7 linked regions of the Nothobranchius furzeri genome follow. The protein of the gene in region 1 interacts with the protein of each later gene in a pairwise test. Links are inferred from orthologs where the notes say so. Each region holds a gene or a part of one and is shown in the gene's direction. Other genes may lie near its edges. The genes, in order: trim54, mfap1, bysl, cwf19l2, protein FAM110A, scnm1 and leng1.

Region 1 (4,174 bases):
CCAAATCACGACAAGAGTCGTCTCAAGGCACTTCACACAGTAAACATTCCAAAACTACAGCAATCCTCATACTAAGCAAGCATTTAGTGACAGTGGAGAGGAAAACTCCCTTTTAACAGGAAGAAACCTCCAGAGGATCCTGGGTCAGTATAAGCAGCCATCCACCATGACTCACTGGGGATGGAGAAGACAGAGCACACACACACACACACACACACACACACACACACACACACACACACACACACACACACACACACACACACACACACACACACACACACACACACAGAGCAGTGTGCTAGCCGATGGCCTCCTCCATGAAATTATTATATAAAATGGTTTGTCAGTGAAGATTGTTATTTAACTTATATTTTTTCTGCCTTCTGTTCTGTATTTGAAGCCATACTATGTAACTTTTTCATATTTTTAAATAATTTTCTTGAGTCAGTATGTGCTAAAATGATCCATTACAGGGTTAATGAAATGCCGCTCAGACCTTCAACTTCGGACTGCTGGGCACCTGTTGGACTTGGGGGGAAAAATTGCTGACATACCTGGTGCTTCAGTCTGCTTCCAGCACATTTCCTGCATGTTTTAGATTATGAACACACCTGATTTGTTGATGTAGTGATGACTCACAACCATGGACATAATTTTCACTTTAGAAGTGGGGGGACACGGGGGGGGGGGGTCTTCACAGTATGTTCTAATGGGAAACAGGCTTCAACACAATGGTTGTTTTCTGCTTGGTCCTAGAGCTCAACCAGTGTCAACTTAATATAGCGTAATATTGTCTTTGGATGGTAAAAAGTGCAGGGGTCAAAACTTGACTTTGGAAAAAGTTGGGGGGGGGGGGGGGGGGGGCATGCGTTAAAGAAATAATAGGCTTGCTTTTCAGCACCCCCTATAGTCTGAAGCGAAACCAATCTCGCTGTGCATTCTTCTTTTTAACACTTTAATCTAACAGCCAAAATGTCTCCCAGAGTTCCTAAGTGTCTAGAGGAGTGAGTCATCACTAAACGAAACAAATCAGCTGTGTTCATGATCGAAAACATGCTGGAACCAGACAGCAGCGCCCGGTAGGTCAGCTCAATTTTTTCTAAGTCCCAACAGACCGGAACACGATGGTCTGACCACAGGGGGTGATGGGGGCATTAACCCTGTAAAGGGTTATTTTAGCATTGGCTCAAGAAAATAATTTAAAAGTATGAAAAAGTTTTAAAGTGTCCATTTAAAAAGAGGAATGCACAGCAAGAAGATAGGTTTGATTATTGATTTGACCAAAGATAATTAATACGTACACTAGGGGGTGCTAAAGGTAAGCAAAACTGCCAAGTGTGCCTTTGTGTGCAGTACTGGAGCTCCACAGGGTACGGCGCTCTCACCCTTTCTGTTCACCTTTTACACCTCAGATTTCACCTACAACACCAGCAGCTGTCTGAGTTTGGGATAGATCCAGACTCTCCATCTCCTCTGATCATTTCTTTGTTTCTCTCAGAGAAACAAACTAATTTCTCCTCCTGATGACATCAAATTAAATAAAAACAAACTTTAAATTGATCCTGTCAGCTGTTTCAGTCGAGGGAAGCGTCTCGTGTTTCTGTTTCAGCATCTCGTCCTGCTTTATTTTCATCCTCCTGAGTGACGCCATCAAACATTCTAGAGCTAATTTTAGCGTCTCCTAAGAGGAAAACAAAAGATAAAAATGAATTTACTGAGTCAGAGTTGTTTTAGGATGTCTGTGGCTCTGATCAGCTGGACGTTCTCAGAACAAAGATGATTAGATATGATGCCGTGTAGCATTACATCTCATAGATAATCTTGTTAATCACTGCAGGAATCTAAATGAACTCTTCGTGTTGTCATGACAACCATTCACAGAGAACTCAAGATTTTCTTTGAAACATAAAAAAATAAAATTATGAACAAAATAAAACTTCTGAGTCAGTTCAGGAGAAGAACTCAGGATTTAAACAAAAAAAACAACAAGATTTTACTATTTTCTCCCAAATCTGAGCAAACAGGAAGTGAGTTGTGGGCTGGTTTAACTGGGACCAGTCAGGAATCAGCTGTGGGGTTTAAGGAATCATCTGAAGTGTTAACAACCAGGAACGTCTGTCATCGTGTCTCCAGGATCTTCTCTGAGGTGTCGGACTTCATGGAAACATCAACAGAGAGTTCTGATAGTGGTGACCCTCCTGCCACACCCGGAGCTCCCAGAAACCCGATCCAGAACAAACACTAGAGCTAAAAATATCTGATGGGAGGGTCCGTAAATCCGAGCCAGACGGGCTTTCAGAGGGGGAAGAATAGAGTCACATCTACAATAAAAACCAAACATCTCACAAACGCCAGCAGAATCTTTACCTGTTCGCCATCTGAGGCAATGAGCTTTGCTTCTGGGTTCAAACCTCCAACACCTGGAAGTTCTGAGCCCGGTACCCGTAGCAAAACCACGATGGAGAACCTGGAGAAACAGCTGATCTGCCCCGTGTGCTTGGAGATGTTCTCTAAACCTGTGGTGATCCTGCCCTGCCAGCATAACCTGTGTCGTGGGTGTGCCAACGACGTCCTGCAGGTGAGCATGAAGATCAACAGGTAGACTCATCAGAACCCCTGATCCAGTTCTGGTGATCCTGTGGGACTTACCCTCAGTTTCATGTTCTTAGCTGACACCTGGTGTGGTCGTCTGCTGCTGGAGTCCACCTGGAGCAGCTGGTGTGGTCCTAAAGGAACCACTGCTGTCTTTCAATCATCAAGAACCAGTCTGACCAGCCTCTGTAGACCCTAGATGGTTGTGGGTTCAAATCCTGGTAGATCAGACCATCATGCCTGGTACTAACAACATTCCACCGTAAATCTCTATTCTGATGCTCAGTTTGAACTTCAGCAGCAAACACCTTCTCTGATAGATGATTGATTTAAAGGAGACAAATTATGCAAAACTCACCTTCTGCATTTGTTTTGCGCCGTCGTGAGTCTACGGACTCCATAAACAGTCCAGGCAGGAAGACCCCATCCATCCATGTTCTGTCCGTCGTTGGTTTCAGGAATTACGTGCCTAAAATCAAGAAGTCCCAGATTGTGATTTCAAAAATGGGCAAATAAGCATAGAAATACCTTCACATGTCGACTCTGGAGGAGCGGCAGCTCTACTCTGAGCCCCTGTTGGATATTTGAGCTCCTCACCTCATAGGGACCAATCAGGAAATTGGTGGGTGTGGCCAGCAATGTTTTCTCAAAGTGACAGAGCCCTGAAATGGCTCATTTTGGAAAGTACTGAAAATGATAAAACTGCTGAAATTGCTTTATGTGAGAGAGATTTAGTGCAAAGAACTTCATAAACATCTTCGGTATTGACATAGAGCAACTACATTTAGCTAGAGTTGCTTTGTAATGTATATTTTGGCAATACTGTTGCCATGGTAACTCAAATTGTCATTAAAAGTGATTTACCACTTCTTCCAACCGAGCCAGTCAGTGTGATGCACAGTGTGTGCAGGTGCATGCTTGTATTTGAGCTCCGTCAAGTTCGAGGTGCTTTTTATTGTGGCTGTTTGTTAAAAGCGTTGCCATGGTAACACTAATTCCAAGCTACAGGCCCTAAAAAGGCTCATTTTAGCAGATTCAGACAAAAGGGTGCCTTTCTGCATATTAACACATCATTGTAGCTTTGTTGTTTTATTTATCACCATAAACAGCCATAAAATCATAAACATAAAAAAATAACTCTTATTTGTTGTGGTGAAAAAGTCAGATCACTATTTGAAAAACACTTTTTTTTAAATCACCTTGAAAGCGTTTGAATTAGTCCTCCAATGCTGATATGAGTGAAGGTTCCTTTAATTGTTTTCATTTTATGATTTAAAGATAAATTATTTGTTATAATAAACATATATACATATATATATTTATTATTACATCGACATATGTCGATGTAATAAACTTAGAAAGCGTATAAGATGTTCCTGAGAATCATCGTTTTAAAAATGACTCCAGCTGACTAACCTCAACCCATTAAACAGCCTCCTGTTTATCATTAAGATAAATGATAAAATGTCTTTTAACAAAAATCCAAGAAAACCAGTTTTTGTCTTCAACCAGGCCACCAACCCTCTGTGGCAGCCTCGAGGCTCCTCCAGCAGCGGACGCTTCCGCTGTCCATCATGCC
Region 2 (4,039 bases), on another chromosome or scaffold:
TATGTAAACAACCTACGCTACCCGGCCCAGGCTGACCCGATACAGATGGGAATGGCCCATTATACTCGCTCCCACCTAGCAGGAGGCTCTGATCCATTCAGACCAGAATCGCTAGCCACAAGAACAGTTTCTTCCCCTCCACGGTCAGACTCATGAATGCCAATCGTAGACCTGCCCACTGCAGTTGCTTTGTTTCAGTCACCTGACCCTGTGTTGTGTTATCACGTAAACTGATCTGCTCTGATCACTACCTACACTGACTTGTTTATTGTAGCTGCTTCTCTAATTATTGCCTCCCTAAATAATGGTGTTTATCATGTTGTCTACCTTTTGTTTGCCTGGCAGGCTGGAACACTGAGCGGGTCCAGGAGTACTTTGTTTGGGCCTCTGAGGTGGTGAAAGGCCTGAAAGGAACTAACTCTGCCCTGGAGGGGAAGCTGGAGGACTTGTTCAGAGAGGCATTCAACTCTGATGGCAAAGCCACACGTCTATACTGTTAAAATGACAACTCAAATGCACCTTTATGAGTGAGCTTCAGAAAAAAAAGAAAGAAGTGTGAATGTACTGTCTGCTGCACTGTCATTTGTATTATTGTCAAATTTTTAAAGTCATGCAAACCAGAACAGAAAATTAAAAGAATAAAAACATATGACATTTCTTTTATAAGTCTGGTTCATTGTCATCAAACCTTTCAAATAATTTTCACACAGACACAAAGTTTTTTTTTTAGATAAGTGAAGAGTTGCTTATTAGAAAGTCAGTCAGATTAGCCTTTTGTTTTTAAATAAACCATGATGCCAAAGTTACAAGCCAACCTCAGTCCATCCTATTACTCTGTTAAGGGTCAGGGCGTGCACTTATTTATTGTGCTAGTAAATTGAACTTGCCTGGAGCAGAAGAAATGTAGTTTGTTAAGCTGCCTGTCATTTTTGTAAAAAAAAAACGGAATGTTTGATGTTGGTTATATTTGTTAGGGTGAAATCGGGTTTCTGATCATAATGAAAAAAAGCTTGACTTGAAGGCCTATCATGCATGAAACATAAAAACCACCAAGGGGCGGTGATTTACAATTTACAATTTAATCGATTTTAATTAGCTTGATGGTCATTTAGAAAACACGTTTATAAAAATGCATAAATGTCAGTTTTGTAAAAACAATTTAATGTGAGACGCTTTCCTGTTCATTTGATTCTTGAGTTTTTGGTTTTTCTCTTCGGAACAAATGCACTTCCTGTCCGTTCGCGGAAGTTGTTCAACTTCCGGTTTTGAAACGAAGCAGCCAAGAGATTGTTGAGACTAAGCGCAACATCCTTTTATTTCACGTCCATAGTTTTGTGTTGTTGACCGGGCAGTCATGTCTAGTCACGAAAGCGTCAACATGAAGCTCCCACCGATCCAGTCCACGGCAGGAGCCGTGCCCATCCGGAATGAGAAAGGTGAATCGTGTTAGGGTTAGCTTCCATGCTAATGTAGCATCTGTTATGTAGCGTCAAAAAACGCGAGTTAAGTTTCTAAATAACTAATTCATTACTCAGCAAAACAAGCTGAAAAGCAATTTTGTGATGTTGGTTTTTTAAGAGAGTAAAATGTGTGTGTGTGGTGGGAGTAACAGTTTAAAATCTAGAAATGGAGGAACAACTGACAGTTTACATTTTTTTAAACAAGATTCAAGATCTTTGATGATCCAACACAAATGTTTATAAACAACTGGAAAAAATATATTTTAAATAGCTTTTCAACTTTTTTACGTGTTAGATAAGTCATCTGTTAAGTCCCTTAAAAGTATTCATGGGCTTTTGTAACGTCATTTATCTGTCTACCTAATAAGAGCTTGTCTGAGACATTAACTCGTTGTTTTAAGCTTACGTCTGAGTTTTGGGGTCATTTTATTACTCCCAAGGGCGAGGGGTATGCTGTATCTGTCTGATTTAATTTAAATAAATCTGCAACATATTGTTTTACGTTTTTTATGGTTGAGTGTTTTTTCCTGTTTAAATACTCTTGTACTAAGCTTGAGGAAGTGTATATAATCATGCCCTTTTCTGTACACAATGTAGGTGAGATCTCCATGGAGAAGGTGAAGGTGAAGAGGTATGTGTCAGGTAAACGTCCAGACTATGCCCCCATGGAGTCGTCAGATGAAGAGGAGGAGGAATTCAAGTTTGCTAAAAAGGGAGTGGAAATGGAGCTGGAGGTAGAGCAGCAGGAAGAAGATGTGAATGACCCACGTCTCAAACGTTTGCTCAATCGAACTTCTGAGGACGTGGAGGAGAGGTATCACTCAGTTTTTCTGATTAAACTCAAATTCTGTCAACATTTTGAGTCAAAATGTTTCCCGTTTGTTTGTGCTCAGGCTCGCAAGACACAGACAGATCGTAGAGCCTGAAGTTGTTGCTGAGAGCAGTGAGGACTCTGATGAAGGCACATGGCACCCTGAGCATCAGGAGAGCAGCGACGATGAAGAGGAGGAGGAGGAGGAAGAGGAGGAAGAAGTGGATGATGAGGTAGCAATTGTGCACCAAAAAAATAAAATCCTTTTAACTTTTTTGTTGCATTTTGAACAAATTATTAATTTGCTCATCGTGCTTGTGACCAGGAAATTGAGAGGAGGCGAGCAATGATGCGCCAGCGTGCAATGGAGAGGAAAAATGAAGAGATGGAAGTGATGGAGGTGGAGGAGGAGGGGAAGTCAGGAGAGGAGTCTGAGTCGGAGTCAGAATATGAGGAGTACACAGACAGTGAGGATGAAGCAGAGCCGAGACTTAAGCCTGTTTTTATTCGCAAGTGAGAACTAAACTAAAAATGTTTCAATAAAAATTCCAGATTCAGAACACTAGCTCAAATGTTTTTTTTTTGCACTGCAGAAAGGACAGAGTCACTGTGGCAGAGCGCGAAGCCGAGGAGCTGAAGCAGCGAGAGCTGGAGGCCGAGGCCAAGAGGCAGGCAGAGGATCGGCGGCGCTACACCCTCAAGATTGTTGAGGAGGAGGCTAAGAAGGAGTTTGAAGAGAACCGGCGCTCGCTGGCTGCACTGGAAGCTCTGGACACTGACGGGGAGAATGAAGAGGAGGAATATGAAGCCTGGAAGGTCCGAGAGCTGAAACGCATCAAGAGAGACCGAGAGGCCCGGGAAGCGTAAGTAAACTGCAGGATTCCAAAGGATTTATGGTGAAAGAGTGATGCAGTTCTCTTCAGGACGGTCATTTGTGGTGTTTTGTTGTCAGAATGGAGAGAGAGAAGGGTGAAATTGACAGATTCCACAATATGACGGAAGAGGAACGCAGGGCGGAGCTACGCAACAGCGGCAAAGTCGTCACCAACAAAGCCTCCAAAGGCAAATACAAGTTCTTGCAGAAATACTACCACAGAGGAGCCTTCTTCATGGTGAGTCCCAGCAGACACAAGAGTCCTTTTCACGGGATTGTCACCAGGATTCATAAAAAAGCAAATTTTTAAGACAACCAAGAGATTTTCCTAAAATCTTCATTTACAGCTGCAGTGTCTTTTCTTTGACAATTATTGTGTGATAAAAACGGCGTACCCTTTCTTATAACACCTTTATTATTTAGATGTCTGTAAATGACAGGAAATCCCACCAGATTCTGAAGGAGGTGATCGTTTGTGATGGGTCACCAACAGGTTATACGTGTAGGGATTTATTGTGTGGTTTTTGTGTGTTAGGATGAGGAGGAGGATGTTTACAAGAGAGACTTCAGCGCTCCTACACTGGAGGATCACTTCAACAAAACCATCCTACCCAAAGTCATGCAGGTGAGACCCTTTCGTCTTGGGGTGCAACGAAATGAAACTTTGGGCTGATGTCGATATTGTTATGGCTGATAATCGATATTTGTCGATGCGACATATACAGGCTGACATTTATGCTTCTGAAGTCAGCAGATTTTATGGAGACTTAAAGTTATGTAAGCAGAAATTTTGGACGTCTTTCTTTTTATATATATTCAGTTAATATCGGTCCAGTTGTCCTTATCAGACCGATACCGATATGTAAAACATAGATATTGATGCCGATATGTCAT
Region 3 (4,033 bases), on another chromosome or scaffold:
GATGCTAATGGAGGATTAGCTGCTGTCTGTTGAAGGAGTGACACCATTTTTCTGGCTGGATAAAAGTGTTAATTAATAGGTCAAATTAAGCTTTATATGTGGAATCAGATGTTTAAAAACATTCTTTTGATTTCATTTGTTTGAAAACACAAATCCCTGCAGTTTGAAGGGAACATTCTCCTGTTCTCTACCCTTTTATTCTACCCTTTCTCAGTGGCCTAGTGGTAGAGTGTCCGCCCTGAGACTGGGAGATCAGGGGTTCGATTCCTGGTCGGGTCATACCAAAGACTTTGAAAAAATGGGACCCAATGCCTCCCTGCTTGACACTCAGCATTAAGGGGTTGGATTGGGGGGTTAAACCACCAAATAGTTCCAGAGTGCAGCTGTGTCTGCAGCTCCCCCAGGGGATGGGTCAAATGCGGAGAACAAATTTCGCACACACACCTGTGTGTGTGACATCTAATGGGACTTTAACTTTTAACTTTAACAATCCATGACCTGAATTCAAAATAACTTCAGTTTGAGCCTTAAACACTAGGTGGCAGTGTTGCTCTAAGATCCATCATACTGGGAACTAGTGATGGGTGTTTTTCCATCCACAGTTCAGACTAATAAATGGTGGTAGATGATAAACTAACTCCAGTTCTCACCCACTACAGCTTCCATCCTACTGACTGAAACATTTGACACAGATCTTAAAGGATAACTAGACATGCGTGTATGTTAAACACCTTTAATGAAGCTTGAGCCATAATTAATGTATTGTTTCAAACTCAAGCTCCAGCAGAAGGTTTGTTGTTTATTAAAATACCTGTAAGAGTTTTATCTGAAATCCTCTGACCTGTAGATCACTTTGACATTGAAATCAAAATGGTAAAGATCTCTTTAAGCTTCAGTAAATCAATCTTGGTCATATCAAAGCAAATTTAATGAAACTTTCACAATGTGATTTCTGTGTGTTCATCTAAACTAATGAAGCTGTAAACATCAGACTATAGAGATAAACCGATATGGTTTTTCTATTGCCGATACTGATGCTCATATGTAGAGGTCACGGTCAGTTATGGCTGATATGTGCTCCTGTTTTTTGGGTTGATTTTCATGGCCGATGTCTAGACGTTTTCTAACATATCTGCATCCTAAATTGTCACTAATAACATCTGTTGATGCTCAACATTTCTGAACCTGAATCAGTTTCTGCTGGTGGTGGTCATGGGGACAGGTCCCCAGGGCAGCTGTGGCTCCAATTAGCTCATCATCACCAGCGTGTGAATGGGGGGATGACTGACTGTGTTGTGAAGCGCCGTGGGGGGTTGTCGAACCCTAATAAGGAGCTATACAAATATAGATCATTAACTGTTTTTGAACTCTGATTTTAACCATTTGTTGAATCTTAATCTTGTACACTGATCAGTATTAGGATGAAACATTAAACCAGAGTCACACATCAATAAACTGACCAAGTATTACATATAACTGAGCATTTATCAAGCACTTGTTAGTCAGGAACGTAAAATTAGGGATGCATGATATGTCTGCGTCAGTATCGGTATGGCCGATGTTAGTCATCTGTTAACATATCACATTGGTCCAACGAATAAAACTGGGCCAATATCAACAACCGATTATTTTTCCAACATGATTCCATTTGTGCATCTGTTTCAGAGGGAGGAGGGGTGATTATCTGTAATTGTTTATTCATGTGACAGTGATGGTAATCATCTCAGAAGCGTAAATGTGTGTGGTGTGTATATAATATTGTAAACACACACACACACACACACACACACACACACACACACATATATATATATATATATATATATATATATATAATATCTAGTTTGCACTTTATAGAAAAAAACATTCAAAAATTCAGCTTGCATAATTTCACAATCAGTATCAGTATTTGCCATATTAGGGATATTAATATCGGTATCGGCCCTAAAATGTCATATTGGTGCATCCCTTGTAAGTATACATTTGAATAAAATTTGGCAGCATCGCCGGGCTGCCCACAGATGTGCCCGTTTTTAAATTGGCTCTATAAAAGTGGTATATATCAGCCCAATATAGCGGCCTGTCCCTACATCAGAGTTTGACATGGAGCACTAAGCAGTCTAATGGAATGTAGAAATAAGAGTAAATTCTAAAAAAAACACATTTAAATGAACAGGTAGGATAATTAACACATAATTTTAATGATGTATAAAATATATATAAGCTAAAAGTGAGCTTATTCTCCTTCCTTGTCTCCACTGATGTTTTTCCCTGAGGCTCTGTTTTGCGTTGTAACCTGTAGCAGGTGTGGCAGCCTCCCATCACTCCTCCTCCTTTAAAGTGTTTCAGGATCATGTTTTAAAAACACAGATATTGTTTCATCTCTGACGTATCCATTGCATTACGCTCTACAAACAGCTCTGATTACGGCCTCCACTGTTGTTGATGAGTGTCACGTATAATTGGCGACACTTTAGCTGCTACCTGATCTGCGCTACTTATGGTTGTGCAACTGCAAATTTAAAACAAACCGAGTTCCGTTGGTTGACATTTTTCAGGGATTTTCCCATTTCCTGTGACTCACAAAGACTCATTTACATTGTTTGGTTTGTAAACAAGTCATGTACCATTGTGATAATATGATATATGCTGCTCTAAACATCACTGAAGCGTGCGTTTAATACCTGATTCCTTATAACATAGGTATCCTGATTCCTTTATGTGAGTCTGGGACATGCACCTTGAGGGAAGCCATCATCATCGGGAGCATTCTCACAAAATGCTCCATTCCTGTGCTGCACTCCAGGTTGGACCTCCTCACACAAAAACACACATGTGTTAAATCAAGTCTGCTGTTACATAACTTGTGTGATCTGTCCTTTCTTTCAGCGCTGCAATGCTTAAGTTGGCAGAGATGGAGTACAACGGTGCCAACAGCATTTTCCTGCGTCTGCTGCTTGACAAAAAGTACGCCCTGCCTTTCCGTGTTCTAGATGCCTTGGTGGCCCACTTCCTGTCTTTCCGCAACGAAAAACGTGTTCTTCCTGTGCTGTGGCATCAGAGTCTGCTCACCCTGGCCCAGCGCTACAAGGCTGACCTGGCCTCAGAGCAGAAGGCAGCGCTGATGGAGCTGCTCAAGATACAAACACACCCGCAGATTTCTGCAGAAATTCGCAGGGAGCTACAAAACTCTGAGTCGAGAGACACTGAAATCGGGCTCCCTATAATGGTTGAAATGGACTGATTCAGTCTGATGTGGTGCACCATTCTCCACATTCATGTTCCCTCTTTACAAAACAGACTTTGCTGTTGTTCATATACAAGGAGGAATTTAAACTTGTTTATGGACCTCAGAGATGTTTTCTGTGTTCTGCCTTGACTTGTTTTCACAAGTGAGACTCTCACCAGTGGTGATGTAGCTGCAGTTTCACAACGGTAACACAAGTCTCTGAGCCTGGGAACACAAACTCCTTTCGGATTAAAGTCGTAATTCTGAAACCTGTCAGAATAAAAACCAAATTATACCTCATAAATTGGTTGTTGATTTTAATTTATAGTTAACATTCGCTAACCAGAAACATGGAGTATGTGAAAAGGCCTCTCTGAGAAAGGTAACTCAGTATTTAATTTATTAGGAGCACTATAGCAAAGATTAAATGCGGAATTGAGAGGCACATTTCTAGGTATGAACATGGAGCAAAAATGATTTTCTAGATGTTTTTTCTGGAGCAAAGGGTACGTGCTAAAATTTGCAGAGTTAGAAATGAAAGTTGCACAAACAAAATGTGTCATTACAGAGCTGGTTGTAAAAATTCCAGTTAAAGATGGCAGATGGGCGTCAGTGGGAACAAATTATTACTGAAGTTATGATTCAGCCTTTTTGATTATAATTCGATTATTATATCTAATTTTCTTTGAAAATGTGAAAAAGTTATTGGAGAAAATGTTATATGATAAAAATGAACATAAATACAACTTAAATCAACATATTTGCCAAATTATAAATTTTCAAAACTACAGATGGGAACGTGTT
Region 4 (4,191 bases), on another chromosome or scaffold:
AAATGCAGACTTGGCCAATTAAATAATTACTAAGTTAAATGAGTTGCTGTGTTTGAAGAAGCTCTAATTGTAGTGATATAAATTTGAAGATCTCTTAATCCATCAGAGCAATAGTTACGCTTCTGAATTGGCACTTTGGTCATCTTGTTACTGTTTCAGTACATCTAGGGGTGCATCAGTTGCTTAAAATATGGACCGGAAATAAAAAATTGATCTTGGATATGACAAAACAATTTCTTGTGCCTTTATTTTGCATTTCCCTAGCAGTCATTACTTGATGTGACTGTGGATTTGGGGAACATCTTTAATATATGTAATTGCATTCTAAATATAATAACCAGAATGTATGATTCGTACCTAGTGACAGATCTGATTGCATTCACATACCTTCAGTTTTTTTATTTTTACACAGTGGTACATGGCCTGTATTTGTATAGCACCTTCTTAGGGTTCTACAACCCCCTAAGGCGCTTTACAACATCGTGATGAGCTACAGTGTAGCCACAGCTGCCCTGGGGTACACTAACAGGCAAGACCTGCTGAACACTGGTGCTGCTGGTTCATCTGACCACCACCAGCAGGAAAAGTGGGTTAAGTGTCTTGCCCAAGGACAAAACAGCAGCATTCTCTGGTTGAAGCTGGGATCGAACCTGCAGTCTTCGGATTGCCGGACAACTCCCTCTACCTCCTGAGCTACTGCTGTCCCAATGTTTCAGTTCAGCACATAGACATCACATCAAAGTCAAATAGAGGAGAATAAGTATTTGACACATCAGCATTTTTATCAGTAATGGTTTTTCTAAGTGGGCTATTGACACAAACTTTCCACCACATGTCAACATCACCTCAAGTATTTAATTCATGCAAAGACATCTAAACATTTAAGTCAATTAATTGATTTATGTGTAATAAAGTGAAAAGACACAGGCAAAATGTATTAAACACAATGTGCCAAATGCCCAGTGTGGATTATAGCAGGTTGTAATCACTTATGAACACAATTTTACAGCTGCATGTTATCTTTTTTTGCTAAGCAGCTTTACACACATACACACACACACACACACACACACACACACACACACTAAATAAAGAAAATCTCACTCCAAGACTTTTTTTTAACAGAGGTGACCGTTAAATTTTTTTAGAACATTATATATATATATATATATATATATATATATATATATATAGAGAGAGAGAGAGAGAGAGAGAGAGAGAGAGAGAGATAGATAGATAGATAGATAGATAGATATATTAGTTGTGTTTATAATATTTTATAAGTAAATATATTATTTAAGTTCTATAAGAAAATATATATATTTTTTTTCATATTATTTAAATTGATGCGCCTGTCCTTGGTCCTTTTGCACTATGAGCCACAAGTCCTCAGTTGACGTAAACTGCGTTGCTTTACGACAGTTGACAAAACATTCACGACGGTGTCATGGCGACGTATGGTGTTAGTTTTGAGAGTTCGAGCAGCATCGACGAAAAGAAAGAGAAAAAGAGGCAGTCGCGAGAAGAGGTGCTAGAAAAGGTACGCGTTTGCTTTGGAAAAGCAAGATTCACGTGTAACAAAAGGCTATTTCGTTGTGTTAGTTACGGTTTAAATCGTACCCCGAGTTTCTGAGTATAAGCTAACACGCTAAGAAGGCTAACAGCTAGCATTTTAACGTTTGGGTACATCATATCTGTATATCATTCTGCTGATGTGTACTACCTTGAAGATGTATCCGGACAGGAAATTACGAGTCAAACACTGACTCGGACAGATAGCAGAGCTGCCTTTAATTTGTGTTGTATTTGTCTCAGTTATTTACCATGCCCAGTGAGTGTTTGGATTAGAGCAGGTTGTCAGCACTTATGTACACAATTTTACAGTTGCATGTTATCTGTTTCTGCTAAGCAGCTACACACACACACACACACACACACACACACACACACACACACACACACACACACACACACACACACACACACACACACTATCTATTTAGCTCACCTGTGTCTGAATTGACCAAAGTCATAATGGTGGCTGGATCTGATTTATGAAGCTAAGTTTTAAAGAGGAAATGGCTCAGTGTGGTTTAGGAGCTCAGTGTTGTCAACTTGTCTTTTCAAACGATCTTCTCCTTTACACCTCACCTTTTAGAGTAGAGGAGGTAGATGTCAACAAAATAGAAACTGCTTAACTGAATCTTTGTTTTCTTGGTTTACATGTTTTATCATTAATGTCAGACCAGCAGATCTTCCAGAAATACATTTTTACATCTCTGGGAATGTGGAGGAGAAAATGAGAAGGGAGACATAAATTGGACACGTAAATTGGTCCTCTGATGCAATCTAAATGTATGTGTAATAGTAATATTTTGTTTCTGTTCATATTTCTATGCGGGCCAACAGGCAAAGCAGCAATATGAGAAGGAGGAGAGGAGGAAGGAGCTGAAGAGGCTGAGAGGAGAAGATACTTGGATTCTCCCTGAAGTCAACCAGAGGCTGCAGCAGATAGAGGAGGTAAGTAGGGGTGGGTGCAATTAATCGATGTGGCGATGCATCTAAAAGCTTAACATGTTGTTTCGGCATCGATTAATGAACGTCAATGCTTAAAAAAACATAACATCAAAGTTTTGTTGCGAAGCCGGTACTTAAAAAAAAAAACGTAACCGGAGCCTTAACGCGCGCCGCCCGGACTGTTTAGTGAGTGGCACTAACTCTTTGACCTCTTTCTCCATCTTGGAGACTGTCTCCAAACTACCGAAGAACTCAGAGAAGGCGAGGAGCATTACAAAAGCAATAGCTACTGTAATCGCGACGGATCTACACCCGTATTCAGCAGTAAACAACAGGGGGTTTCGGTTAGTGGTGCGCACCATGGAGCCGCGCTACAAACTTCCTCACCAAAAACACTTTGCAGAAAAAGAAGCCCCCCACCTCTACAAGGAAACCAAAGCAAGCGTTCTGGAGTCCATGAAGAAGGCAACCGGGATAGCGCTCACATGCGATGCGTGGACATCGGTTGCCACCAAATCCTTCGTTACTGTAACGGCGCATTTTGTTCTTGCGTCGGACAAGAACGGGTGGAAGTTGGTGAGTCACGTTCTTCAAACTCGAGAGATGAGTGAGAGTCAAAGTAGCACAATGTTGACATTTGCCCATCTCACACAACAGGAGGATGTAGGGGAACAAGAGGGAGGAGAGGGAGTATGAGTGTCACTCTGCTCTATTTTATGTTGTTTATGTTGTTTATGTTGTTTATGTGCTTAGCAGACGCTTTTACCCAAAGCGACTTACAATTTATTTTTTTTAACCTATAGGGCATGTTGTGATTTTGTTGTGTTCGCCTCACTGTACTGAAGCTCCAGGCTGAATATATGTTCAGTTGAATTATGCACTTTTGTTCTGAAAAAATACAACATATTACCTTCAAATATAGCAGGTTTTTTCTGTTACCTATATTCCAGACTGAATAAGCTGAATTTATTTATTTGATCTGTATGGCAGCTTTTTTTGTAATGTTATCATATGCCAGACTCATAAGTTTCCATTAAATAAATTTGATGGAAGTAAAAATCTTGTTTACTTGAATTAATTACCTCATTAAATCCAGGGCTTGCCTGTTTTCAGTGTTTCCCAACAATGGAGGGGACACTAGTGTAAGTAAAGCTTTCCCTGATCGAAGTTAAGTTGGTCAAAGTGCAAATATTTACACGTCATACAGTCATAAAATAAGAATTTGTCTTTGAAAAATAGTTAAATGTTAAAAAAATGTATTTACTTACAGAGAGTAGTTTTAGAGGAACTGAATTAATTGATAGGTTAATTATTTACAAATGTAGATAAAGAAGAAGACAATCTTGTATGAAAAAAGCATTAAAAATGTCAATAATCGAAGAATCGTGGCACCAGTAATCGAATCGAACCAAAAATCATTATAATCGAAGCATCGAAGCTCCCATAATCTAAATCGAATCGAACGGTGAAGTACCCTTTTTGGAACACCCCCAGAGGTAAATGTCACATTGCTTTTAATTCAACAATGAAAAGCATCGCTATTGCTGTGCATGGAAAAAACACAACTTCTTGTTTCCAAAAGATGGTTACTTCCCTATCATTGCAAATGACAACTAATTAGGAATGCACTGAACACAGTCAGCAACATAAAAATAAGTTAATGTTAGTAATCCA
Region 5 (3,953 bases), on another chromosome or scaffold:
ATAACTTCAATAATTTCACGCTGATGAACACATGAACATAATCCTGTTTAGTGGATGCAAATACAACATGAAGTTAGCTTAACATGATAGATGTTTTTTCTTGGAAGGAAATAATAACTGGTAATATTATGAATGACATGATATCCCCCCCCCCCCCCCCCCCCGGAATTACAATTAAAACATTTACATTAATTATAATTAAAAGTTCCATTTGTGACATGTAGCTGTAACTCTACTGCAGATATAGATAGATAGATAGATGGATGGATAGATGATAGATAGATAGATAGATGGATGGATAGACAGATAGATAGATAGATAGATGGATGGATAGACAGATAGATAGATGATAGATAGATAGATAGATAGATGGATGGATGGATGGATGGATGGATAGATGGATGGATAGATGATAGATAGATAGATAGATGGATGGATAGATAGATGGATGGATAGATGATAGATAATATGAAGAAGTTCAGGAGAGTTGGATGTTGAATTGTCCTCACGAAAAGAAAATTTGTATTAAACAAAGGTCAGTTCCCTCTAAAGTCAGAGGTATGGAGGATTAGGGCCACTGAAAAGAAAAGAAAGAGAATTTGGACTTTTTTCCCTGAATTCCCTGTCAGAATTCTGAGATTAAAAGTCAGAATCTGAGAAAAATGTAAGAATTCTCTTTCTTTTCTTTTTTCTTTCTTGTCAGTGGCTCTAATCCTCTTCCATACAGAGTAGAAATAATACCCCCCCCCCCCCCCAAATGGCCAGCGACTTGTCCGCTCCCAACCCCATGACCCCGTCTCACTGTTTGAAATGTTCAAAAGTTGGCAGCCCTGTTCTGTTCCGTCTGAGGTAAAACTAACATTCACCCTGAAGGAGAACACCTGACCTTTGACCCTAATTCGTTTGGACTGGTGTGTCTCACCCTCTTCAGAAACGAGACTGAATGTTGTCTATTCGGGCTTCCTGAGACAAGACAAAAAAGGGTCAAAGAAAAGAAATACGCATTAGTAATCAGATTACAGAACGAGACCGGAAGCGTGACCTTTGGGAAGGATCCCAATCATTCAGCTTGCTGATAGGGCAAAAACAAAGAGAGCGTCACGTGGCCAGAGAGCTTCGGCTTGCTTCCTTGAAGGAACCTGATTGGTCCAATCATCCAAAGGGGCGGAGCTTCGAGCAGCACGCGAGTTGTCAGACAGGTTTGTCTTCTCGGCTTGAGCTGTTTAGAGGTTTCAGACAGTCTCGCTTTTGTCCTCACAAACTCCTCAGGAGCTCCTCCAACCACTCAGGTGAGAGCCCGGTAGGGCGAAGAGTAGAAGTAGGAGCAGGAGATAAGTTTAAACGGTTATTTAGAAGGTTCCGCACGCGCCTTGAGTTAGCTACCTGTTGTTTACCTGTCAGCGTTTCCGTGTTAGTCAGAAACTCCAGGAGCCCGCTCCTGGTGGTCAGGGCCGCCTCCTGAGGTTCCCCCCTGCCTCCAACCCTCCCAGGAACACACTGGTTGTTGCTTTTGTTCTGGAGGCCTGCAGACCTGAAGGCAGGTGAGGTGACGTCCCACGGCTCGGTCCGCAGGAGCCCGGGCCCGGCTCAGACAGGAATGGGAGCTATGTGCAGAATTTTCCTGGCAGACGGCTCGGGAGGCCTCCCGGAAGTTTCAGCCTCTCCAGTTTGTTTTTGTTTTCATGGATCCCAAATGAGGCGTGTGTGTGTGTGTGTGTGTGTGTGTGTGTGTGTGTGTGTGTGTGTGTCTGACAGCTGGTCCTCTGATTCACCCCATCACCCTCCTCACGGTCCCTCCTAGCTGCAGACCAAGTGTCAGTCTCATTGTGTGCCAAAAGATGGATGACTGAGGAATTGTTCTAATCCGACTTGCGCCGCCAGCCAATGGACTTGGAAGTCTGGGGGAGTACGTGGGAAGCCATTGGCTGGGAGAGTAAATAAGTGGGCGTTGGGGTTTCGGGTCTTTTGTGCCGTGAGCAGTCCTTTCTGCTCCCCTGACTGATGTTTGTTGTCCACAGGGAGCCCAGATGTCCAGGCTGAGCTGCTGAGATGGCATGAGGATGACGACCGAGATTAAATCCAGGTTTTATAATCTAAGGTAGCTGAAGGACAACTGGAGCTGACACCATGCCTGTGGAGACGATGCAGCAGCCTCCACGGCAGCCAGTGAGGGCTGCCGTCGGGGTTTCCCCTCCGCGTCTACGACCCAAGGGACCAGATTTCTGCAGGAGAATCGCAGCAGGAGCACCAAAGCAGAGTGCCGTAGAAAGACTGGAGGCCGACAAGGCCAAATACGTCAAGAGTCAGGTGGCTCTTTCCAGAACGCAGCCAGTCGGGCCTCCTGAGGTGAAAAGGCCTCTGCTGAACCCCAACACACCCCTGCGCCCCACCAGAAAGCCCAACCTCCAGACTGGTACGAAACCAGAGGGCGTCCAGCTTGACCTGGAGCACCTTAGTCACCTCATCAGTGATCTCCCAGTTGGGCCAACGCCTAACTCAGCGTCCCAGTCAGAGGACTGTAAGGCTCCTGGTGGTGCTGTGACTGCACACGGTTCCCTGTTCAAAGCTCAGCCGATGACGGACAAGCCACGCCCCCCTCCACGTCCCCTTCTGCGTCCCGACTGCTCCAGTCCAGCTAAAGTCAGACAAAAGGTACCTGCAGCTGCCGGGACAGAGAGTCCAGGTTCTCCTGGGGCTCCGGCTGCAGGAACCGTACGCAGAGTGGACGTCATGCCTCAGTTTGGCCCTGTGAGGACGGCCTCCAGACCCCCCCAGTTCATACGGCAGCCCCTCCAACCCAGACCTCTGATTTCCCACGTACTGCTGCGCTCAGCGTCGTCGCACCAGCGCGTCTCCCAGCCAAAAGCTGCTCCGGGTTCTTCTCCCTTGAAACCACTTGTTGCTCCAGTAAAACCCGACCACTCTAACCCACCTCCCGCTGACGCTCCTGCACCACTGCCCCCCACCCTCCCCGATTTCCCACTTCCTCCCCCCTCTCCAGCCATCACCCGTTTGTCATCCTCCAGCTCCAGAAAGCGTCCGTCATTGACTCGGTCCAAGTCCGACATGAGTGACCGGTACTCCCGGGCCGGGACGGAGCTGGAGCGCTTCTTCAACCTGTGCGGTCTGGACCCGTCGGACCTGCGTGAGCTGGCTGCTTCCAGCTCCGACATCGTGTCCCTCGCTCGCTTTCACAGCGTCAGCGCTCCGGGATCGGAGTGTGGAGGCTCGAACAGAGGGGTCAAAGAGGAAGAGGAGGAGGAGGAAGATGCCGGGAAAGCTGCAGACCGCGTTCCCTATGGGATTTCTGTGATTGAGAGGAACGCCAGAGTGATCAAGTGGCTCTATGGGCTAGGGCAAGCCAAGGACGACACAACCAAGAACACTAATTTATAGATGGACCGTCTGAGTTTTATTATGAAAGGGAAACTCGTTTCCTCTTTCAGAGTAAAAGTGGCTGCCCAGGTTGTTGAGTAAACCGGTGAAAGGCTGAATGTGAAGAGTCATCACCGTTGGCTGTGGTGATGATTTCCGCCCACCATGTTTCAGCGTGCGCGGATCGTCCTGTTGATAAAAATTACATTAAAGAATTCACTCAAGCTCTTTGTTTGGTCCTCAGTCATCACCTCAAACATAAAACAACGCACTCAGCATCAGCAGGTGTGTTTTAGGACACCTGAGACCAGGGGCGTGTCCAGGGGGTGGCCTGGGGTAGCACATGCCACCCTTGGAATCTAATTGGCCACCCCAGGTGCCACCACACTAATTTACCTTCAAAAAGGCTTTTCATTGTCCACAAAAGGCTTGGGGGTAAAACAAAAAAAAGCATAACCATTGGTGCCACCCATGCACAAAGTTGTGCCTCACCTGGGCCACCCCATTTTAAAAGATCTGGACACGCCACTGCCTGAGACCCACACGAACGGGAACTTCGAGTTTTAGGCGTCTCTTGA
Region 6 (4,101 bases), on another chromosome or scaffold:
ACCTAACACTCAAGTTTTTGGACTGTGGGAGGAAGCCGGAGTACCCGGAGAGAACCCACGCATGCACAGGGAGAACATGCAAACTCCATGCAGAAAGATCCCAGGCCGAGAAGCAAACCCAGGACCTTTATATATATATGCATGGTGGCGCAGTGGTTAGCACTGTTGCCTCGCAGCATGAAGGTCGCAGGTTCAAAACTCGCCTTTCTGCGTGGAGTTGCGTGTTCTCCCCATGCATGCGTGGGTTTCCTCCGGGTACTCCGGTTTCCCCCACACATCACAACATGCCCTACAGGTTATTAAAAAAAAACTTGTACGTCGCTTTGGATAAAAGTGTCTGCGAAATGAATAAACATAAACATACACACACACACATATATATATATACACACACACACATATATATATATATATATATATATATATATATATATATATATATATATATATATATATATATATATATATATATAGAAAGAGAGAGATAGAGAGAGAGAGAGAGACTCAAAAATGTAAGCCTAACTAAAATAGGTTGTTTAAAATGTAAATAGTTTGTACTTACAGACACTCCGTATTTAAGGGCCAGGCCCTGCAAAGTCTCTCCCGGTTGGACGACATGTTCCACGACTCTGCGGCGAACCGGAGACTGTGAAGGTCGGATCAAACTGCCGTAAGATCTGGTTCGGCTTCCGCGAAGGAGGCCCCCTCTCCCGGGAGGCGATGGCTCTCGCTCCCCGGACATTTTGGTGTATCATTTGTGTTTAAACCCGTCCAAGGTGCGGCAGAATACAGAGAGCTGTAAACTTTAGCTTTTACCAGAGAAACATGTATGTAAGAACTAGCACACGACCCAACTATTCAAGCTTCTTTCCTTTTTAAACCTGCTATTTTAAGCTTAGCAATACAGCACCTGCAGCACACACAGGGCCTCTGATGTAAAAACCCCGTTAAACTATATGATAAACCTATTTTACACACCTGAAAAGTTATCGTGAACTTGTTAGCATTTTCTCGTATCTCGTGAAGTCAGCAGCAGCAGTAGCAGCTACGCTGGTTGCCATGGCTGCCTGGGCTGGTCACATGATTCTTAACAAACGGTGCGTTTAATACAATACGAATAACAGAAATCACTTTAAAGTTGTTCGAATTCGTTTTAGGAGTACCTAACGTTTAAACTGTTTCTGCACTTGAGCAGTCTTTTTTAATGATAATTATGAGCGACAAATAATGGATATGATTCAGAAATGTTTGTGCACACTTTAGTTCAAAGCTGAACTCCGTTCTAAATTTGGAGGTTAGAATTTCCCATGCGTCGATTCTTCTGTGAACGCATCAGCAGGGCTAGCCTAGCATTGACAAAAAGCAGCTAATCTGGTTCCAACTTCAGTTTAAGAGTATATGTCATAGCAATGTCTTTTAAAAGAGAGGGGAATGACAAGAGTCAACTCAACATTCTTAAGGTTAAATATTGTTTTATACGTTGTCTGTTTCATTAAATATTATACGTTTGTGTAGTTAGCATCATGTTAGCATCCTGTTAGCTTCCTGTCCTGGGAGCACTCACTATTTCAACTTTGTTGACATTTTTCAGAAAAGGCGTGTGGCCGATCTGCTGTCTCATTTTATTCCTGAAGACGAAGCTGCGCTGCTGAAAAATGGAAGGTGAATTTCGGCTTGACTCACGTTCGGAAAAGAAACAGACATGTTGTTACATTAATAACTGAAAACGTGTGTGGTTTTTTAGATATACTTGTCTGGTGTGCTCCTACCGTCCCGTGTTTGATACGGTTGATGTGCTGACCGTCCACAGGCAAGGGAAGAAGCATCTAGAAGGTAAAAGTGAGCTTAAATGTGTCATTCCCTGTGGGTAAGGGATGAGGTTTGGAAGAACTTTTCTAAGTCAGGTGTTATGATTTTCTTACATTGTCTGACATCAAAGAAACACTTGAAAGTATCTGATGATATTGTGGGAAGACAATAGAACATACAGTCTGATCAATTTGTTTATTACAAATCATTAAAACAACAGCACGTGGTTTTTACTCAAAATCCAAGAACTTCACCCTGAGTTAAAGTATGGAAGAGGATTAAGGCCACTGAAAATAAAACATATGAAAAGAAAGACATCAGATTTTTCCCCTCAGAAATCTGGCTTTAATCTCAGAATTATTAAAGTCACAATCAAGAAAAAAGTCAGAATTCTGAGAAAAATGCCAGAAATCAGAGATTAACTCATTAACTGCCATTGACGACTAAAGTCGTCATTTGCATTTTTTTTACTATGTGGGCGTCGGAACGAGCCCCCGCACCGTGAGAACAAACATTCCAGCTATAAGCTGATCTTCATTCGTGTACGTCACACGCCACGTGATCAGGAAGCAGAAAATCCATGTGTTAGGAGATCGTTTTGGGCCACAGCTGTAAAAAAATAAGTGAGGCGCAAACCGGAAAAGCTTCTGCCGATCACAGTTCGACTACAGATTATGTAAGAATGGATAACACTCGAAACATGTAGATTCTGAAGAAGAAGAAGAAAATATCATTTCTATGGCGCCTCTCAAGATAAAAATCACGAGGCGCTTCACAAAAACAAAAAAATGTAAAAAATATAAAAAAGCATTTAGAAAATGTTTAAAAATTTATTTCAAATGAGCAAAAATAGACAATTGGGATTTAAAAGAAAACAATTTTAAGAAAGAGAGAGTGAATAGGAAAGAGGGAAATCAGTGGATCCTGAGGAAGGTGGAATAGGTGGGGAGAGCAGAATAAAGAGAGAGGGGTTGAAGAAGGCCATACAAAAGCCAGCTTGAACAAGTGAGTTTTCAGCTGCTTTTTAAAGGAGTCCACTGATCTCAGGCTCAAGGAGAGAGAGAGTTCCAGAATCTGGGGGCCACAGCAGCAAATGATCTGTCACCTTTGGTCTTTAGACTGGTGCGTTGCACAACCAGTAGGCTTTGATCACTGGACCTCAGGGACCTGCTGGGGGTGTAGGGACTAAGAAGATCACCAATGTAAGATGGTGCTTGTCCATGTAAGGCCCTATAGACCAGAACCAGAATCTTGAAATGAACCCTGATTCTGCCTGATGTAAGAGGTGAGTCTACTCTTCGTTTTGTTAGTTTTGGCGTTGACATCATCCTAGAGCACAACGTTCATTGACTCTTAAAGAAACAGTAGAAACACTGAAAAACGCTGGCTGCGAAGGGCTTTTCTGATCAGAGAATGGCAGGAGTGTGTCCAGGGAGTGCCCTGGGGTAGCAAATGCCACCCTTGAAATCCCAGGTGCCACCCCACCGAGTTCCATATAAATTGACTTTACATTCTCCACAAAAGGCTTAGGGTTACAATACAATAACCATAGGGGCCACTCGTGCATAAACAAGTGCCCCACCTGGGCCACCCCATTTTAAAGAGCTTGGACACGCCACTGGAGAACGGCTGGCAGTTAGTGAGTTAAAGTCAGAATTCTTTTTTTAAATTTTTTTTCTTCAGTGGCCCTAATTATCTTCAGTATTAGAAAAGACAAAACAAAAACAATCCATAATTACTTGTATACCAAAAAGTGTTTAAAAACCTGAGCAACAAAGAATTAACAGCTGTAAATTAATCATATGCAACTTGTGATGCATTTTAAATATCAAAATGCATACTAAAAAGGGGTTAATAGCTTGTTTTGATTATCGATATTAACATCGCTACACCACTGTACTATAGTTACAGTGGGAGTCATGGCATGGGTGGGGACTTATTTCATTCACACTTCCTGTTAGGAAAACACTTCTGAAAGAGGTGTCACCTGGTGGACCAAGAGAGCGACTCAGAGGCAGTGATAGACAGCACTCCCCTCAACCCCCTCTGCGTGCGCTGTCGGAGTTTCTCTGTCGAAAAATTAGTCATTAACAAGTGCACACGCATGCTCACAGTAGACTTACCTTTCTGCAGTATTCTGGAGAATTTCCTGTTAACTGCGATCATTAGATGAAAAGGGGAGGAGGGCTTTTTTTTAAGGAGGCGAGCGATTCAAAGGCTCTTTAAAGGGACTTTATGGAGTTTTGAATTTTTATGCTCGCGATTGCCCCCTCAGGCCAAAAGCGTAACGGC
Region 7 (4,236 bases), on another chromosome or scaffold:
AATTTGTCATCCTCTTTTACTGCAAGAAGGTGAAGAATTTAACATAAAACTTGTTTTTTTCCCTCTCACATACATTATAATTATTTGTATTAGTGATGATATTGTGTTTGCGTGTCCACAGATCACACTCTTCCACAACTGTCGGCCAGCGCTGAAGACGTTTCGGTCCACCACCTCCACCTTCTTTTTCCTGGTGGTGCTTCTGTTTGGCTGGACGTTGGCCCTGGTTGTTATGATTTACAGCCTTGCTGTGTGAGTGCTGACTGCTGCAGATTTATCCTTAATATTTCCAACAAAACAGCGTTTTAGAAAGTCAGAACAGTCAGGGCATCACTAAACACTTTAAGAAGGATTCTTTCCACCTCTCCAAACAGGATCAACCCTTCGATGGCGTGTGGGCCTTTCCGCTTCTTCCCCTCCATGTGGAAGATTGTTCCAAACTCTTTCTACTGTCTCTCTAAAGTTACACAGGATTTTCTCTTCTTCATTGGCTCACAGGCATTTTCCATACCTCTTTTTGCTTTATCATGGTGAGTGTGCATTTGTGAAATATTTATTATTTATTAGATTTAATCTACAGATTATCACAGTGCCTTTTTTCCTCTCTGCCAGCGTGATTATGTGCTATTTTGTAGCATTAGCTTCCATCTATGGAAAAAGTGTTGAGATGCTCAAAGCTCAGCTTAAGTTGGTATGTTGTTCCTACTTACAAAGATCAAGGATCATTTGTATAATATCCTCAGTGGTAGCTAATATTGTCCAATGTCATGTCTTTGATTTTCAGGAGGGTCAAGATAAGCAGTTTTTGGTCAAACAGATTGAAAGACTAAAGCTGCAACATCTGATGCCAGCACTAAGAGCAGAAGTACAAGACTGAACACAACCGATGACCACGTTTAGTTTTTCTGACCTAAATAATGAAGTAACTAATATGTCTTCTGGGGGGGAGAAATCTCATTAATCCAGACTAGATCTCATTTGACAATTACTATATTCATTTACAGCGTTTCTGTTGTGAAGCTGAAACAATAAGAGAATTTGTTATTTAAAGTCAGTATAATTTTGATTGTTGTTCTAAACATTAGTGTTGAATTAATAAACATGCACAGAATTTATTTATGATTTTGAGAGGCTATTTTTCTTTTGTATAAAACAACCTCGGGTGCAGAATCACCAAAAATGCTAACAAGAAAGAGCATGCATTTCACAAAATGCTACATTCCAAAGCCAACATATACTTTACCTTTTTGTCCTTTCATAATGAGTACATTGTTTTTGACATCTTTTGGTTATAGCAAAAAATATATATATTTGGGACATACCGGTAAATATTTTTGTGGCACCTGTACAAATACCAGTAGAGTTTCAGCGCCCCCTGGTGTTACATATTGTAATTACATAACACGATTATTGTTTACTTCCTGTTTAACTCTACTACTTCCTGTGAGCGCAACAAACCAGAAGCTACTCCTCCGTTAGCTCGTCATTGATAGCATTTATTATATTTTAGGAAAGTAGTCAACTTAAATAGATAATGTGAGTGAGTAAGGTCCACGTTATTTTCTTCTGCGTCATCACAAAACATTGGCAAGTACTAGCGACCTTCCCTATTTAGCTTAATTTCCTAAAAAGAAAGAAAACAGCGACGCATATTTGATTGTTGGGCGTATTTGAAAAATTCTGCTTCTGTATTTAGACATTTTGTCGAATAACCTGCTTATTTCTACTATACACCAATATATTAACTGACCAGAGTGAGTGTTTTCTCTTGTCGTTAGCTTTCTAAGCTAGCTGACTGCTAATTGTCGGTCACCAAGGCAACCATGAACATCCTCCCGAAGAAGAGTTGGCACGTCCGCAACAAGGACAACATTGCGCGCGTGCGGAGGGATGAAGCCCAGGCAGCAGAAGAGGAGCGCGAGGCCAAGCGTCGCGTGGAGCGAGCAGAGCAAGAGGTAGTCCCCCTCTGGTGTTAGCATGGTCATTCATTAGTCTTCACTCTCTCTCTTTCTTAACATTTTTTTTGAATCACAATTGTCTATTTTTGCTCATTTTAAATATATTTTTAAACATTTTCTAAATGCTTTTTTATTTTTTTACATTTTTGTTTTTGTGAAGTGCCTCGTGATTTTTATCTTTAGAGGCACTATAGAAATTATATTTTCTTCTTCTTCTTAATAAGCGATATAAGTATCATTACTACTGTGGAAAATGTATTTGAGTGCAACACAACTGTAACGCATAGAAAAACCACAAATCAGCCGAATGTACAGGGTACCTGGCACTTTAATTGAAATATTTAAGAAATTAGTTCTGGAAAAATGATCAAAAGTAAACAAAAGAGTTTCACAGATTTTAATCCTGACCATTTAAAACTAAATAAATACAGAAATAAATGTCTTTTGGGGAGAAAGACAAAAGAACCAGTCACACGAAGGTCAGGTGGATGTTTGGAGTTTGGAAAAGTGTAGAAATGTTAAGGTTATAGATGTTAAACAATCTGAATGCCACATGTAGATTAAAACCGCAGCAATGATTTCAGTAATAAGAAAAACTGAAAACATTCTGAGCTTCGTCACGTTCTCTCTCCTCGTTGATTCTATCTAAACCGCTGCGTGCACATATGAGGCAAGAGCACTTTATCATGAGTAACTTTATTACAATAAAGAGCCACAACAATAGTACCACTGTCAAATGTCCCAGACGATACACATAATTCAAAGTTGTATAATTTAGCAAATAATCTGCTTTACACAGTGCTATTTAGGATTTAGTTGCTTTCAGCTTGTTGCAAAAGCTCAGTTAGGTCCTATGTCTTCAGCTGCATTTGCTTACAATCCAAAATAACTATTTATTATTTATATCTTTAGTTTATTCTAACAGCTTTTTGTTTCTACAGGCGCGTACAGAGTATCTGAGAAGGAAATCTCGAGCTGCTCTTCAGTCAGAAGGAGGAAGCAGAGATGATGATGATGAAAAGGAAGGTGGAGGAGGCTTGGAGCACCTCAACCTCTTCCCTTTGGAGGAGTCTTCAGAGAAGAAGGGGAACGAGGAGTATCTTAAAGAAAAGAAAGAGGAAAAGGTGACAGAAAAACCTTAATACATGTGTGGATTATTTATTTTTTGGGGTTTTATATTTGCTTCAGTAACACCTTTTCCAGGGTATCCGCGGGTCCTTAAAAAGTCTTAAATTAGCTTTTCCAAATTTAAGGCCTTAAAAATCCTTAAAAATGACAAATAATCCTTAAATACAGTTTCCAGAGGTCTTAAATTACCAAAGACCCAATAAACAAGATTCTTTTATTTCTATAAAATTTTCATGAATTTCTAGTTAGCGTTCAGCATTTTTGTGTACGATGTTGCCGTAAGCGGAACCGTACACGTTCAGTTGGTTGTGAAAGGGGGCTATTTTTAGATGAGCACGTTAGCTGGTTAAGCTAGTGGGAGCTTGCGCCATGGGGAAGGGCAAGTTTAATGGTAACTGGATGGCTAATCCCATGATCGCGGCGTGGTTAGCACCGGTTCCAGGCAATAGCTGGAAATTATAGCTTAAATGATAAATGACCCGCACTTGTATAGCGCCTGTCAGAGGAAGGACTCCAAAGCGCTTTACACCACAGTGTATCATTGATCCATTCACACACACATTCACACACTGGTGGTGATGAGCTACGATGTAGAGGCGAGGCTGCCGAGCACAGGCGCCACCGGTCCCTCCGACCACCACCAGCAGGCAAGGTGGGTTAAGAGTCTTGCCCAAGGACACAACAGCAGAATTCTCTGTCCGGAGCCAGGATCGAACCTGCAACCTTCCGATTACTGGACAACCCGCTCAACCTGTTGAGCTACCGCTGCCTTGCTTAAATAGCTTAAATTTGGTCAAAGTGGCCTTAAAAAAGGTCTTAAAAAGTCTTAAATTTGTCTCCCTTAAACCTGCAGATACCCTGTTTTCAAAAACCCCTTTGTTTAAATATAATCTGCATCTTCTCATCCAGGAGAAGCAGGAACGCGCCATCGGCCTACTGGTGTCTTTAGGACCCCAGCCAGGCTCTGAGGTGACTCCGTGGTACCTGAAGAGCAGCAAAGACAAAGAAAGTCAAGAGAAAGACAAAAAGAAGGGAATAAGTGAAGAGGAGAAAGAGAAGAAGGATCGGAGGCTGAAGAGTAGTTTGGATCCCCTGAACGAAATGAAGAAAGCTCTAGACGTGTTTGAACGAAAAGTACCTAAAAACAGGA

The links.
Region 2: the proteins of trim54 (region 1) and mfap1 interact in binary tests that used the Homo sapiens proteins (3 or more experiments, as listed by UniProt). The two-hybrid records come from large-scale screens. The link is inferred for Nothobranchius furzeri from reciprocal best matches to the Homo sapiens genes TRIM54 and MFAP1.
Region 3: the proteins of trim54 (region 1) and bysl interact in binary tests that used the Homo sapiens proteins (3 or more experiments, as listed by UniProt). The two-hybrid records come from large-scale screens. The link is inferred for Nothobranchius furzeri from reciprocal best matches to the Homo sapiens genes TRIM54 and BYSL.
Region 4: the proteins of trim54 (region 1) and cwf19l2 interact in binary tests that used the Homo sapiens proteins (3 or more experiments, as listed by UniProt). The two-hybrid records come from large-scale screens. The link is inferred for Nothobranchius furzeri from reciprocal best matches to the Homo sapiens genes TRIM54 and CWF19L2.
Region 5: the proteins of trim54 (region 1) and protein FAM110A interact in binary tests that used the Homo sapiens proteins (3 or more experiments, as listed by UniProt). The two-hybrid records come from large-scale screens. The link is inferred for Nothobranchius furzeri from reciprocal best matches to the Homo sapiens genes TRIM54 and FAM110A.
Region 6: the proteins of trim54 (region 1) and scnm1 interact in binary tests that used the Homo sapiens proteins (3 or more experiments, as listed by UniProt). The two-hybrid records come from large-scale screens. The link is inferred for Nothobranchius furzeri from reciprocal best matches to the Homo sapiens genes TRIM54 and SCNM1.
Region 7: the proteins of trim54 (region 1) and leng1 interact in binary tests that used the Homo sapiens proteins (3 or more experiments, as listed by UniProt). The two-hybrid records come from large-scale screens. The link is inferred for Nothobranchius furzeri from reciprocal best matches to the Homo sapiens genes TRIM54 and LENG1.

Annotation. Positions count from the first base shown.
Region 1 is NC_091742.1:14,248,914-14,253,087, forward strand, and holds the start of trim54 (tripartite motif-containing protein 54), read left to right. Parts: upstream 1-1,374; 5' UTR 1,375-2,263; coding exon 2,264-2,581; intron 2,582-4,107; coding exon 4,108-4,174. UniProt on the Homo sapiens protein: May bind and stabilize microtubules during myotubes formation.
Region 2 is NC_091749.1:30,004,238-30,008,276, forward strand, and holds the start of mfap1 (microfibrillar-associated protein 1), read left to right. Parts: upstream 1-1,239; 5' UTR 1,240-1,354; coding exon 1,355-1,436; intron 1,437-2,057; coding exon 2,058-2,274; intron 2,275-2,353; coding exon 2,354-2,504; intron 2,505-2,596; coding exon 2,597-2,784; intron 2,785-2,864; coding exon 2,865-3,134; intron 3,135-3,223; coding exon 3,224-3,383; intron 3,384-3,680; coding exon 3,681-3,770; intron 3,771-4,039. Other genes in the region: hddc3 (guanosine-3',5'-bis(diphosphate) 3'-pyrophosphohydrolase MESH1), read left to right, coding at 346-500. UniProt on the Homo sapiens protein: Involved in pre-mRNA splicing as a component of the spliceosome.
Region 3 is NC_091743.1:46,638,541-46,642,573, reverse strand, and holds the end of bysl (bystin), read left to right. Parts: intron 1-2,703; coding exon 2,704-2,806; intron 2,807-2,889; coding exon 2,890-3,244; 3' UTR 3,245-3,533; downstream 3,534-4,033. UniProt on the Homo sapiens protein: Required for processing of 20S pre-rRNA precursor and biogenesis of 40S ribosomal subunits. May be required for trophinin-dependent regulation of cell adhesion during implantation of human embryos.
Region 4 is NC_091753.1:35,505,606-35,509,796, reverse strand, and holds the start of cwf19l2 (CWF19-like protein 2), read left to right. Parts: upstream 1-1,391; 5' UTR 1,392-1,447; coding exon 1,448-1,540; intron 1,541-2,409; coding exon 2,410-2,520; intron 2,521-4,191.
Region 5 is NC_091755.1:41,859,566-41,863,518, reverse strand, and holds protein FAM110A, read left to right. Parts: upstream 1-1,153; 5' UTR 1,154-1,289; intron 1,290-2,018; 5' UTR 2,019-2,127; coding exon 2,128-3,396; 3' UTR 3,397-3,599; downstream 3,600-3,953.
Region 6 is NC_091745.1:65,775,966-65,780,066, forward strand, and holds the start of scnm1 (sodium channel modifier 1), read left to right. Parts: upstream 1-1,301; 5' UTR 1,302-1,409; coding exon 1,410-1,460; intron 1,461-1,591; coding exon 1,592-1,662; intron 1,663-1,744; coding exon 1,745-1,833; intron 1,834-4,101. Other genes in the region: lysmd1 (lysM and putative peptidoglycan-binding domain-containing protein 1), read right to left, coding at 563-742. UniProt on the Homo sapiens protein: As a component of the minor spliceosome, involved in the splicing of U12-type introns in pre-mRNAs. Plays a role in the regulation of primary cilia length and Hedgehog signaling.
Region 7 is NC_091745.1:76,666,511-76,670,746, reverse strand, and holds the start of leng1 (leukocyte receptor cluster member 1), read left to right. Parts: upstream 1-1,436; 5' UTR 1,437-1,587; intron 1,588-1,778; 5' UTR 1,779-1,823; coding exon 1,824-1,955; intron 1,956-2,899; coding exon 2,900-3,082; intron 3,083-3,995; coding exon 3,996-4,236. Other genes in the region: voltage-gated chloride channel TMC4, read left to right, coding at 1-29, 122-252, 375-530, 613-691, 785-877.